Linked DNA regions of Canis lupus familiaris. The protein of the gene in region 3 interacts with the protein of the main gene of each other region in a biochemical or structural test. Links are inferred from orthologs where the notes say so. Each region holds a gene or a part of one and is shown on either strand. Other genes may lie near its edges. The genes, in order: CHEK2, MAPK7 and PML.

Region 1 (4,135 bases), on a different chromosome or scaffold from region 3:
GTAAACTCCCCAAAACTGCTTCCTTCGTTCCATTTTTCAACACCTTTACACTCTGGAATCATTCCTGAAGTGTCTTGAGCTTTCTGCTACAACTATCTGTAACTGTGTTTGTGAACAATTAAAATATTATACAATATATCAAACAGTCTTACCAAGATTGGGGAATCCATCCTGAAGGGCCCATAATCGAGCCCAAGGGGCAGGGACAGGCTCTTCAGGTTCCTGGTCCTCAGGAATAGAACAGAGTTCCTGGGTGGACACTGTGTCTAAGGAGCTCAGGGTCCCTGAGCTGGAGTGAGACGACTGGCTAGATGTGGGTGCTGTGCTGGTGGAGCTGGATGTGCCCTGAGAGTGTGAGGAGGAGCCGTGTGTCTGCGAGGAGATGCCTTGAGACTGTGAGAAAGTGCCTTGGGACTGCGAACAAGCACCACTGCCATGGGACTGCTGACACTCCACATCCGTCTCCCGAGACATCACGACCTCAAAAATAAGTGTTCAATAATAAGGTAAGTTTCAAGGAACAAGACTTGAAGTTCAAAAGTAAAGAATGGGCAGGGGGGGATCCCTGGGTGGCGCAGCAGTTTGGCGCCTGCTGTTGGCCCAGGGCGCAATCCTGGAGACCCGGGATCGAATCCCACATTGGGCTCCCGGTGCATGGAGCCTGCTTCTCCCTCTGCCTGTGTCTCTGCCTCTCTCTCTCCCTCCCTCTCTCTCTCTCTGTGACTATCATAAATAAATAAAAATTTTTTTAAAAATTAAAAAAAAAAAAAAAGAATGGGCAGGGGCGCCTGGATGGGTCAGTTGGTTAAGCATCAACTCCTGAGTTCAGCTCAAGTCCTAATCTCAGGGTCATGAGATGAGCCCTGCAGCATGCCGGCTCTGGGCATGGAGCCTGCTTGGGATTCTCTCTCTCCCTCTCCCTCTGCCCCTCCACTTCCCCACCCCCATGCAAGGGCTATCTCTCTCTCTCTCAAAAAAAAAAAAAAAAAAGTGAAGGATGGGCAAATTTACATCAGGAAAAAAAAATTCAGAGCAAGCATGTTCTGCAAAAGTTAAAATTCTTTTTTTTTTTTTTTAAAGTTAAAATTCTAAGTCTAGATTGATCTACAGTTCTTCTGAGATGAGCTTTTCATTATATCACTTTCACTGGATCATTTTTCTGTTATGACAGCCACAAATCACAGGGAAAAGAAAGAAATTATTTGAAGTTTATAAATAAGTTAAAAGAAATGAACTAAATTAGGGGTGGAAGACTCATAACAGCTTATATTCATCTAATTTTTAAAAACTAGAAATGAAACCTAAAAGATATTCATTAATACAATCAACACTACACTTAAATTTCATGTTTTGGAACAAGAAAGAAGGGGGAGGGCCATGTGGCTTGGGGGTAGAAGATAGCAAAGAGAAACTATAATTCACTGCACCTTGCCAGGGGTGACCATTTACATAAAATATCAGATACCCCTCCTCCCCCAAGCCTGCCCCAGGATGATGAAGACCACATCCTGTTTGTTCACTCTAGATTCCCTGACTCCTAACTAAAGGCCAGCCTATTAATGAAGCACATCACAAAGAAGACTACTCTAAACAACTCCACCTAGCCCTTTGTTATGCTGAGTAACCATAAGGGCACACCTTTTCAGCATCCTAAATGGCCTTCTAGCCCTTAGGATTTTGTAGAATCCTACAGAAAAAAATTGGAGTCACAGGAGACCTTGACAGGTTCCCACCCCCACTTTAGAATTAATTTGATGGACTGTTAAATTCTGATAACAGAAACTACAGTAAAGTCAAAGTAACAGTCGATCCTTAACTTTAAATTTCTAATCTGATTTTTATAAAGGGGGGGGGGGGGGAGTGCATTGTCTCTTCTCTCCAGATACCCATACTCAGGCTATTCCTCCAAGGAGAACATAGTAGACATTACTCACATTGACTGCATTTATACAGCTTTCTAGATACAAAGATCCTGATGACTTTTTCTTAAACCACACCAGGAAGATGATGCCAGAGCTGAGTGTGCCACTCCAGGACCTCGTGCTTTAATACTACTACCTCAGTCAAGGGTGCAATCTTTCACAGCTTTTTGAGCAAAACTTCTCTGCCCTGAGAACTGGCAAAAGACTGTCAAGAAGTGGCTATTATCCTCGCTTACCTTAATGGTCCAGCAAACGAAAACCACACTAGCCTCAGCGATGAGGAGAAAGTATATAGAAAGATTAGAGACAAGTCTGGAGTCAGATGCCTGACTCAAAGCTCTGCAGGATCTTCAGGTAGATCACAACTTCACTAGGTAGAGAGATCTTGAGGATTAAATGAGATGATATAGGAATGTTCTTCCTCCGGTACTGCTCGATAGTTGGGAGAATATAATTCCAGTCCCAAAGAATACGACAGCGGAAAGGGGTTGATAAGTGCAACGCATTTTTTTTTTTTCCGAATAGAGAAACTGAGTCCCAGGGTGGGCTGGTGCCCTCCTACCCTTTCTTATCCCACACACTCACTTATGGACACTCGCAGGGCATCCTCCTACACAAGTCAGTGTGCCCCAGTTCCTGCAGCGCCCAGCTGCTAAGATTGAGTTCTCAACAGGTTTTTTTCGAAATTGAATCTAAAATATGGTAATAATTGCTACCATTTATATAACTCTTTACAAAGCAACGACTGGCTAGATCAAAATCAGTTACCCTCTGATTTTGAAGAACACAACTTCGTCCTTTCTCATCCTGCACGTCTGGGCCAGTTTCAGCTTGTAAGTAACAGGGGAAGTGAACTTCACTTCGAAGTTCATCTACAAAGGAAGACAGTCGCCCACACATTCCTCTCCTCACCCTAACCGAGGTCAAAAAACGCACAAAGTGGAAACTCGGGAGGTTCGGCGCGGATTAAGACCCTGGGGACGGGACTCGAACCCCCCAACACCCAGGAGAAGTTCCCCACTACGACTCACCGCGTGAGCCCACCTAGAGCCAACACTCACAGCAGCTACATCCAAGCAGAGTGGCGCTAACCAAGCACATACAAACTCCACCCTCAGCCAATCAAAACACCCCGCCTTCGCCGCCGGACCAATGAAGAGCAGCGGATGTGGCCGTCCACACGTAGCCTCAATGCTTGCTGGGAGTTGTAGTTTAAAATGAGGAGCGGGACACTCCGAGTCCAGGTTCCCCTCCTCCCGCCCCCACCGGGTGATCCCGCCCCGTCAGCTCCCCCAGCCAATCAGCAGCACTAGTCTGCTCAGTCGCTCTCCATCTCTCTCTCCCGGTCCCCCCCCGCCCCAGGCGCCCGCGGCGACCTAGGCCGCGGCCAGATGTGGGGCGGGAGGACCGGCGCCTTGCTCCGGGTGTGCGGGCTGTGGCCGGCAGGGGCCCTCGGAAGGAGACCGCTGAGCTGCGATGCTGCGTCTCTGGCGGGGAGCGGTTCCTCCCAGTGTTGGAACTGCGGCGGCCCCGGGGGCCCCACGCGGGGGGACGGGTTCTTCTGCCCACAGTGCCGCGCGCTGCAGCCGCCTGACCCCACTCGAGATTACTTCAGCCTCATGGACTGGTACGGGAGGCGGTTTCGGGAAACGCGCGAACGAGAGAGGCGTGGGCCGGCCTGCGAGGGGCTAGGGCCGAGAGTGCCTGGGGAGGAGAGGGCGGGACCGGTTAGCCTGGTGGGCGGAGCCGTAGAGAAGGGGGGTGGGGCCCGGGAGCGCCGGGGTGGGATTGCGGCCCGTGCCACAGGAAATTGAGGGGTGGGACTGAGCTTGGGGCCTCAGGAGTGGAGACCCGAATGGCGGGAGGGGAGGGGGGGAAGGCGTTTAGGGGGTCTGAAAGGTGGAGGCTTCGGTGGAGGGAGACCTGGGGGGGGTGCCTGACGGAAGCGACCTGGAGGGGCTGGAGAAAGACTTGAGCGACAGGGCCAGAATGGTTAAAGTTGGGTTGAGACTTATAAGAAAGGGGTACTTAGGTGTTATCAAGAGAAGGGAGTAGGGGGGCACCTGGGTGGCTCAGCGGTTGAGCATCTGCCTTTGGCTCAGGGCGTGATCCTGGGGTCCTGGGATCGAGTCCTACATCGGGCTCCCTGCAGGGAGCCTGCATCTCCCTCTGACTGTGTGTCTGCCCCTGTGTGTTTGTGTGTGTGTGTGTGT
Region 2 (2,690 bases), on a different chromosome or scaffold from region 3:
GACTCCTCCAACTGGGGACCCCCCAGTATGCTAGACTGAGCTGGCGTCGTGGATGCCAGGCCACCCGTGCGTGGCCATCGCTGCCACACCCCAGCATGCCCCCCCACTGTCCTCAGAGCATCTCCCCATCCTTGGCCTCCCTCCCACAACTCATTCCCTAGTGGGGAGCACCATGGACCCCCACCCCCACCTCATGGCCCTACTCTGCTGCTCCCACCCGCCTGTCCCAGCCCCCCAAAGCTCAATGCTAAATCCGTATGTCACCACAGCTACTGCACGCCACTCTAAAAACAGCTACAGTCAAGGTAGGCATAGATACCAGGTCCCCCCACCGGCCCTAGAGTTGAGGTCTGAACATGGTGGGGGGGTAGGGGGTGGGCAGAGGACAACCTCTGAGGGGCTGTAAGCAGGTGGGGAGTGAAGATCTCAATAAAGCTCAGGATCTGAATGAACTGGCTTTGGCTGTCTGTCGTGCATGCAATCGTGTTTGCTTGGGTCTCAAATACAAGAACCTGGCTCCTCCTTGCTCCCCTACTGACAACACCCTGACCTCAACTCTAAAAAGACACCTAGAGTTAGGCCCTAAAGGGAATCTTATATTTCACAGGGCTCATTTTGATGGCAAAGAAATGGCGTCACAATATTAATATAATAATAATAATTATAATAAAAATACAATACTGAAAAGGATCGCTCAGGGAGTAGAGGTTTCCTGATCCTGCCGTGGCTTGGCGGTGGCTCAGGTGGCTGCTTAAGGCTGCAGTGTGTCTGAGATGAACCTGCAGAATAATCGAAGCTGAGTTTCCACTGCTGGGCCCAAGGCTCCAGCTCTTGGAAATGTTCCTGTGAGTCTTGTAGCTGGGTCCGCCCCGGGCAGCAAGGCACAGGCTGTGGACCTCAGGGCTCCTGGAGGTCCGGCAGGTCAGCCAGCAGCATCGGGGAATCCATCTGGATCTCACGCTGCAGGGACTCAATGTCGGCAGGGTTCATGCCGTGGCCCTCCAGCCAGTCAGCAAGCAGGGAAGCTGAGAGTGAGGCTGAGTCTGCCTGGCTGCAGGAAAAAGGGAAGCAGGGAGAGCGGAGGGGAGAGGCCCTGTTAGCCTAGGCTGGCTCCTTGCCCATCCCACAGGCAAGCTCCTCCTGCACCAGGAAACCCTACCCACAGGCCCATTCCAGAAGCTTGGTCCAGCCATCTTACCCATCCTGTGGCCCGTCAGCCACTCCCATGTCAAAAGACTGGTTTAGGAATTCCTCCAGGTCAAAGCCAACACCATAGCCGGCCCCACTGCCCTTTGGAGTGCCCGAGAAGACTGGGGGCAAGGGGTCCTCCACCTGCAACAGGCGACAGCAGGTTACAACACAGGCAGTATCAAGAGCAGACAGAGGTTATCCCGCAACTCTGTCCCGACCCTGTCAGTGACTCTGCCTGGACAGCCGTTGGGGACAGCACCAGCCTGGACAATTGCTGAGTGCCAGTCAAGGGCCTGTCTGCAGACCAGGCATAACTTAGGAAGCATCTTAGTCATCTCCCAACCGGTTCGTTGGCATTGAGCTCCTTCTAAGAGCAAGATGACAAGTTCAGAGATAAAACCCCATTTGCCACTCAGTTTTCATGGAATAAAGGTACACTGAAGCCTCTCCTGTCCCCCCGCCCCCACCAAACAGCAAGGACTTCTCAAACCCATTTTCCCTGGGCCCAGATCCAGGTTTCTCCACAGCCTCTCACCTGTGACTTGGACAGCTGCTGAGTGACCAGGTTGACGTCGGGGGATTCTGAGGTGGAGGGCTGAGGGGCCCCTCCGGGCTCTGGAGGGGGCGGGCCAGATGGGAAGTAAGGCAGCACAGCTACGGCACCGGGGCCAGGCAGCCCAGAGGGTGGCACAAGTGCAGGGGGAGCCAGGAGGCTAGGGGTGGCAGTCTGGAGTGGAGCTGGGCCAGGGACAGGCCCCGGAGGGCTGGCGGGGTGAGGAGCAGGCCCAGGGGCTGGGCAAGCAGGCTGCGGTACAGGACCAGTGGGGGAGCCTGCTGGTTTTGGTGGGGGGGCAGCAGGAGGACTGCTGGGCTGAGCTGGGGCGGGTGCTGGGACTGGGGCATGGGCTGGGGCTGGGGCTGCTGTGGGGGCTGCGGGCCGGGCCATGCGAGTCCAGCGCTCCAGCAGGCTGCGGTCATTGTCACTGAGCACCAGCCCAGCCAGGGGATCGGTGGACGGACCCCCAGAGGTCCCGGCCCCCCGCTCCTTGCGTTCCCGCTCCTGCCGCCGCTTCTCCCGCTCCTTGGCTCGCTCTTGCCGCCTCCGCCGCTTCTCCTCCCGCTCCCGCTGACGCTCCTGGGCAGTCACCGGCTTTCGAGGCTCAGGAGCTTCCAGAGGAGCACTGGGGCCATCTGCAGAGAAGTTGGCAGGGAGAAGATAAGAGTCTGCGGCCTGTCCAAACTGGGAGTACCCCTCTGCAACCCCGCTCCCTGGCCAGCTGCTGCCTCCGCAAGGCACCTCGGAGCCGGCTCCGCAAGGACTTGAGCAGGGCGGCTTTGAGGGCTGCCTTGGTGTTGTCTGAGATGGCACCCTCCTTCTTCGGAGGGGCTGGTTCACTAGCTGGCAGGGGTGGTTGCAGGGTCAGATCAATGGTGTCAGGTGCAGGGCCAGGACACGGCGGTGGAGCTGGTGGAGGTGACTCCATGGCACAGTCCCCGCT
Region 3 (3,649 bases):
GCGCAGGAAGCCGTGCATGTCCAGCACCTCCTGGTCCGAGGCGTAGAGCTTCATCCTGCGCACCAGCGCGCTCCCCGTGCGGATGCGCTGCAGCACGGCCTCCAGGCGGCCCATGCGGCCCGCCAGCTCCTCGTAGCAGCGCTGGTACCGCGCCGTGACCCCCGCGAGCAGCTCCTGCTCCCGCGCCAGCACGTGCTCCACCAGCTGGCGCACCCGTGCGTGGATCAGCGCCTCGGTGTCGGCGCGCGCGCGGCCCAGCTGGCTGACGGCCGAGTGCATCTGCGCGTGCGCCGCCCCGAAGGCGCCGTCCTGCTCCTGCAGCACCCGGGCCATGGTGTCCAGCTCCTCCTGGCGCTGCTGGATCTCCGCGCTGATGTCGCACTTGAGCTCGCCGTGGCTGCTGTCCAGGAGCGCGCACGAGCAGCACAGCGGCTTGGAGCAGCCTCGGCAGTAGATGCTGCGGACACACGAGGCCGGCGCGGTTGAGGGCTCTCCTGCGCCCCCCCCCCGCCCCCCAGCTCTCCTAGGGAGACTCCCCTTCGAGGGTGACCTCGAATCGTGGCATGTTCCCCGGTTCCGTCTGTGGCCAGCGCGATGGTGTCCAAACCACCAATAAAGCATTAGCACAGGGAAAGGTACTGAGGTTCCAACCGCTGGCCTCCACCCAGCCTCCACCCAGCCTCCAGCTAGCCTCCACCCAGCCTCCAGCTAGCCTCCACCCAGCCTCCACCCAGCCTCCAGCTAGCCTCCACCCAGCCTCCACCCAGCCTCCCCCTAGCCTCCACCCAGCCTCCAGCTAGCCTCCACCCAGCCTCCAGCTAGCCTCCACACACACAGGGGATCAGTGCTTCACACACTTCTGAACTTCCTTTCCCTTCCTGCGAGCAACCAGATGAGCGTCCGGATGCCTCCTTCCAGCCCTCTGTCTGCTTTAAACCACTTTGCACAGATAGCCAGGCTATGCAGCTGCTCGAAAGGATCTTAAGGAGCTGAGGCGACGCATCCCGTGTAATCCTCACTAGAGTTTCAGAGGCGAGGAGAGCTACCGTTACCCTCATTTCACAGGTGAAGAAACAGAGGCCCTCAGAGGTTAAATAATTGCCCCAAGTATCTACAACAATTCTAGTAGGTTGATACTTGGTTTACAAGAAGGATCATGCTACAAATGAGATCATGAGTCATGACTCTGTAACTTCCTCCTCTAATTTAACTTTTGCTTAGGACAACATTCCTGGAGGTCTGATGAGTATGGGTCTAACGTATTCTCTTTAAAAGCTCCCTGAAAGGGGATCCCTGGGTGGCTCAGTGGTTCAGTGCCTGCCTTTGGCCCAGGGCGTGATCCTGGAGTCCCGGGATCCAGTCCCGCGTTGGGCTCCCAGCATGGGGCCTGCTTCCCCCTCTGCCTGTGTCTGCCTCTCTCTCTCTCATGGTCTATCATGAATAAATAAATAAAATATTAAAAAAAAAAAAGCTCCCTTAAATTCCATGTGTACCACAACTGATCCAGTCAGTCTCCCGTTATGGACAATCCAGTGATTTCCTATTTGTACTCCCCCCGCCCCTTAATGCCAATATGGACAATGTTAGGCCGCTTTATGTGGCCTAACGCGTCTTCTGTTCTATGAAATAGGTTACAAATGATAGGAGTGCTAAATCAAACCGTATGCATGCTTTTAGTTATTTAATATATTTTAGCTAGCAGACACTTCTATGGCATTATTATAAACACTTGAGGAATATCAACCCTTTTAATCCTCCTAACAGTCCTACAGAGTAGGAATTATTATATCTTCATTTTTTTAAAAAAGATTTTATTATTTTACTCATGAGAGACACAGAGAGAGGCAGAGACACAGGTAGAGGGAGAAGCAGGCTCCATGCAGGGAGCCCGACGCGGGACTCGATCCTGGGTCTCCAGGATCACACCCTGGGCTGAAGGCAGCGCTAAACCGTTGAACTACCTGGGCTGCCCTTATATCTTCATTTTATTTTATTTTATTTTATTTTATTTTATTTTTTTAAATTTTTATTTATTTATAATAGTCACACACACAGAGAGAGAGAGAGAGAGAGGCAGAGACACAGGCAGAGGGAGAAGCAGGCTCCATGCACCGGGAGCCCAACGTGGGATTCGATCCCGGGTCTTCAGGATCACGCCCTGGGCCAAAGGCAGGCGCCAAACCGCTGCGCCACCCAGGGATCCCTATATCCTCATTTTAATGATGGGGAACCTGAACAAGAGGTACAATGACTTGTCCAAGGTGACACAATTAGTGAGTGATAGACTCTAGAGACAAACTGTAGTAGGCAGAAAATGTACTAATAATCCCCAGAACCTGTGTATGTTACCTTATATGATGGCAAGGACTTAGTACATGTGATTAAGTTAAGGATCCGGGATGGGAAGATTATCTTGGATTATCTGGGTGGACCCAGTATAATCACGAGGGTCCTTATAAGGAAAATAGAGGGGGAAGCAGGCAGGCGTGAGGAAGAAGATTTGATCATGGAAGCAGAGGTCTCATGATGCTATCCTGCTGGCTTTGAAGATGGACCGGGGTCATGAACCAAGGCAGCCCCTAGAAGTTGGAAAAGGCAAGAAGACAGATTCTCCCCAAGAGCCTCCAGAAGGAACACGGCCCTACTGACACCTTGATTTTATCTCAGTGAAACCCGTTTCAGGCTTCTGACCTCCAGAGGTACATAATAATAACAACTTTGTGATATTTCGCTATACCTTTCTCTTCCTACCATCTTGGGGCCTGTGGAGGCTTTTTTTTCCTTTTTTTTTAAAGATCTTATTTATTTATTCATGAGAGATACACAGAGAGAGGCAGAGGGAGATACACAATGTAGGCAGAGAGAGAAGCAGGCTCCTCGCAGGGAGCCTGATGTGGGACTCGATCCCAGCACCAGGACCATGCCCTGAGCCAAAGGCAAACGCTCAACTGCTGAGCCACCCAGCCGTCCCAGGGCCTGTGGACGCTTGCTGGGAACAGGACTCTTAGAATGACAAGTATGTCCACAGGGCTGTGGTGCTAGGCCGTGTTTGCTGGCTATACGTGGGGTTTCCAGAACCAGAGGGAGCACACAGATCTTCTTAAAATTGAAGGTGTTTATGCGTGAGATGAAACTGAATTCCATCCAGGCAAGAGCTATGCTTACGTGAACAAAGCAAAGAACAACAGGGTGACTCCCGGTGGCAAAACAAACCAAACCAGAGTAGTCTGGGGAGAAGCAATTCATGCTTGTGGAAGCAGTGGCATGGTTCATGCCAAATTCCCAAGCAACCTTCCTGCTAAAGCCATTGGTCATAGAATTCATGTGATGCTGTACCCCTCAAGAATTTAAACTTACAAGTAAATACATAAAGGTGTAGAAAAGAAAATCAATTTGTAATGTTTTAAGCTCCCAAATTTGCAGTAATTTGTTACAGCAGCCATAGGAAACTACCATAAAACCCCAGGCAGTCTGGCTCAAGTCCATGGTCTCAAACACTCCAATGCTGCCTCTTCCAACACTCCCAGGAAAATACTGTTAGTCATTTCCCCAGAAATATTGCTGTAATTTGTTCTCACTAGCAACGATAGCCCACCTGAGGCCAGGAGAAAGGATCTTAGCTGGAGCCACTTTGGCCTCCGTTACTGAG

Evidence for each region.
Region 1: the proteins of PML (region 3) and CHEK2 form a complex in vitro, tested with the Homo sapiens proteins (2 studies listed by BioGRID, with this or other methods). The link is inferred for Canis lupus familiaris from reciprocal best matches to the Homo sapiens genes PML and CHEK2.
Region 2: the proteins of PML (region 3) and MAPK7 form a complex in vitro, tested with the Homo sapiens proteins (2 studies listed by BioGRID and IntAct, with this or other methods). The link is inferred for Canis lupus familiaris from reciprocal best matches to the Homo sapiens genes PML and MAPK7.

Annotation. Positions count from the first base shown.
Region 1 is NC_049247.1:22,510,067-22,514,201, forward strand, and holds the start of CHEK2 (serine/threonine-protein kinase Chk2), read right to left. Parts: upstream 2,917-4,135; 5' UTR 2,823-2,916; coding exon 2,691-2,822; intron 2,604-2,690; exon of another isoform or gene 2,159-2,603; intron 481-2,158; coding exon 153-480; intron 1-152. Other genes in the region: iron-sulfur cluster co-chaperone protein HscB, read left to right, coding at 3,314-3,549. UniProt on the Homo sapiens protein: Serine/threonine-protein kinase which is required for checkpoint-mediated cell cycle arrest, activation of DNA repair and apoptosis in response to the presence of DNA double-strand breaks.
Region 2 is NC_049226.1:41,046,119-41,048,808, forward strand, and holds the end of MAPK7 (mitogen-activated protein kinase 7), read right to left. Parts: coding exon 2,489-2,690; intron 2,383-2,488; coding exon 1,727-2,382; intron 1,333-1,726; coding exon 1,199-1,332; intron 1,052-1,198; coding exon 898-1,051; 3' UTR 644-897; downstream 1-643. UniProt on the Homo sapiens protein: Plays a role in various cellular processes such as proliferation, differentiation and cell survival. The upstream activator of MAPK7 is the MAPK kinase MAP2K5.
Region 3 is NC_049251.1:37,693,878-37,697,526, reverse strand, and holds part of PML (protein PML), read right to left. Parts: intron 3,352-3,649; exon of another isoform or gene 3,019-3,351; intron 458-3,018; coding exon 1-457.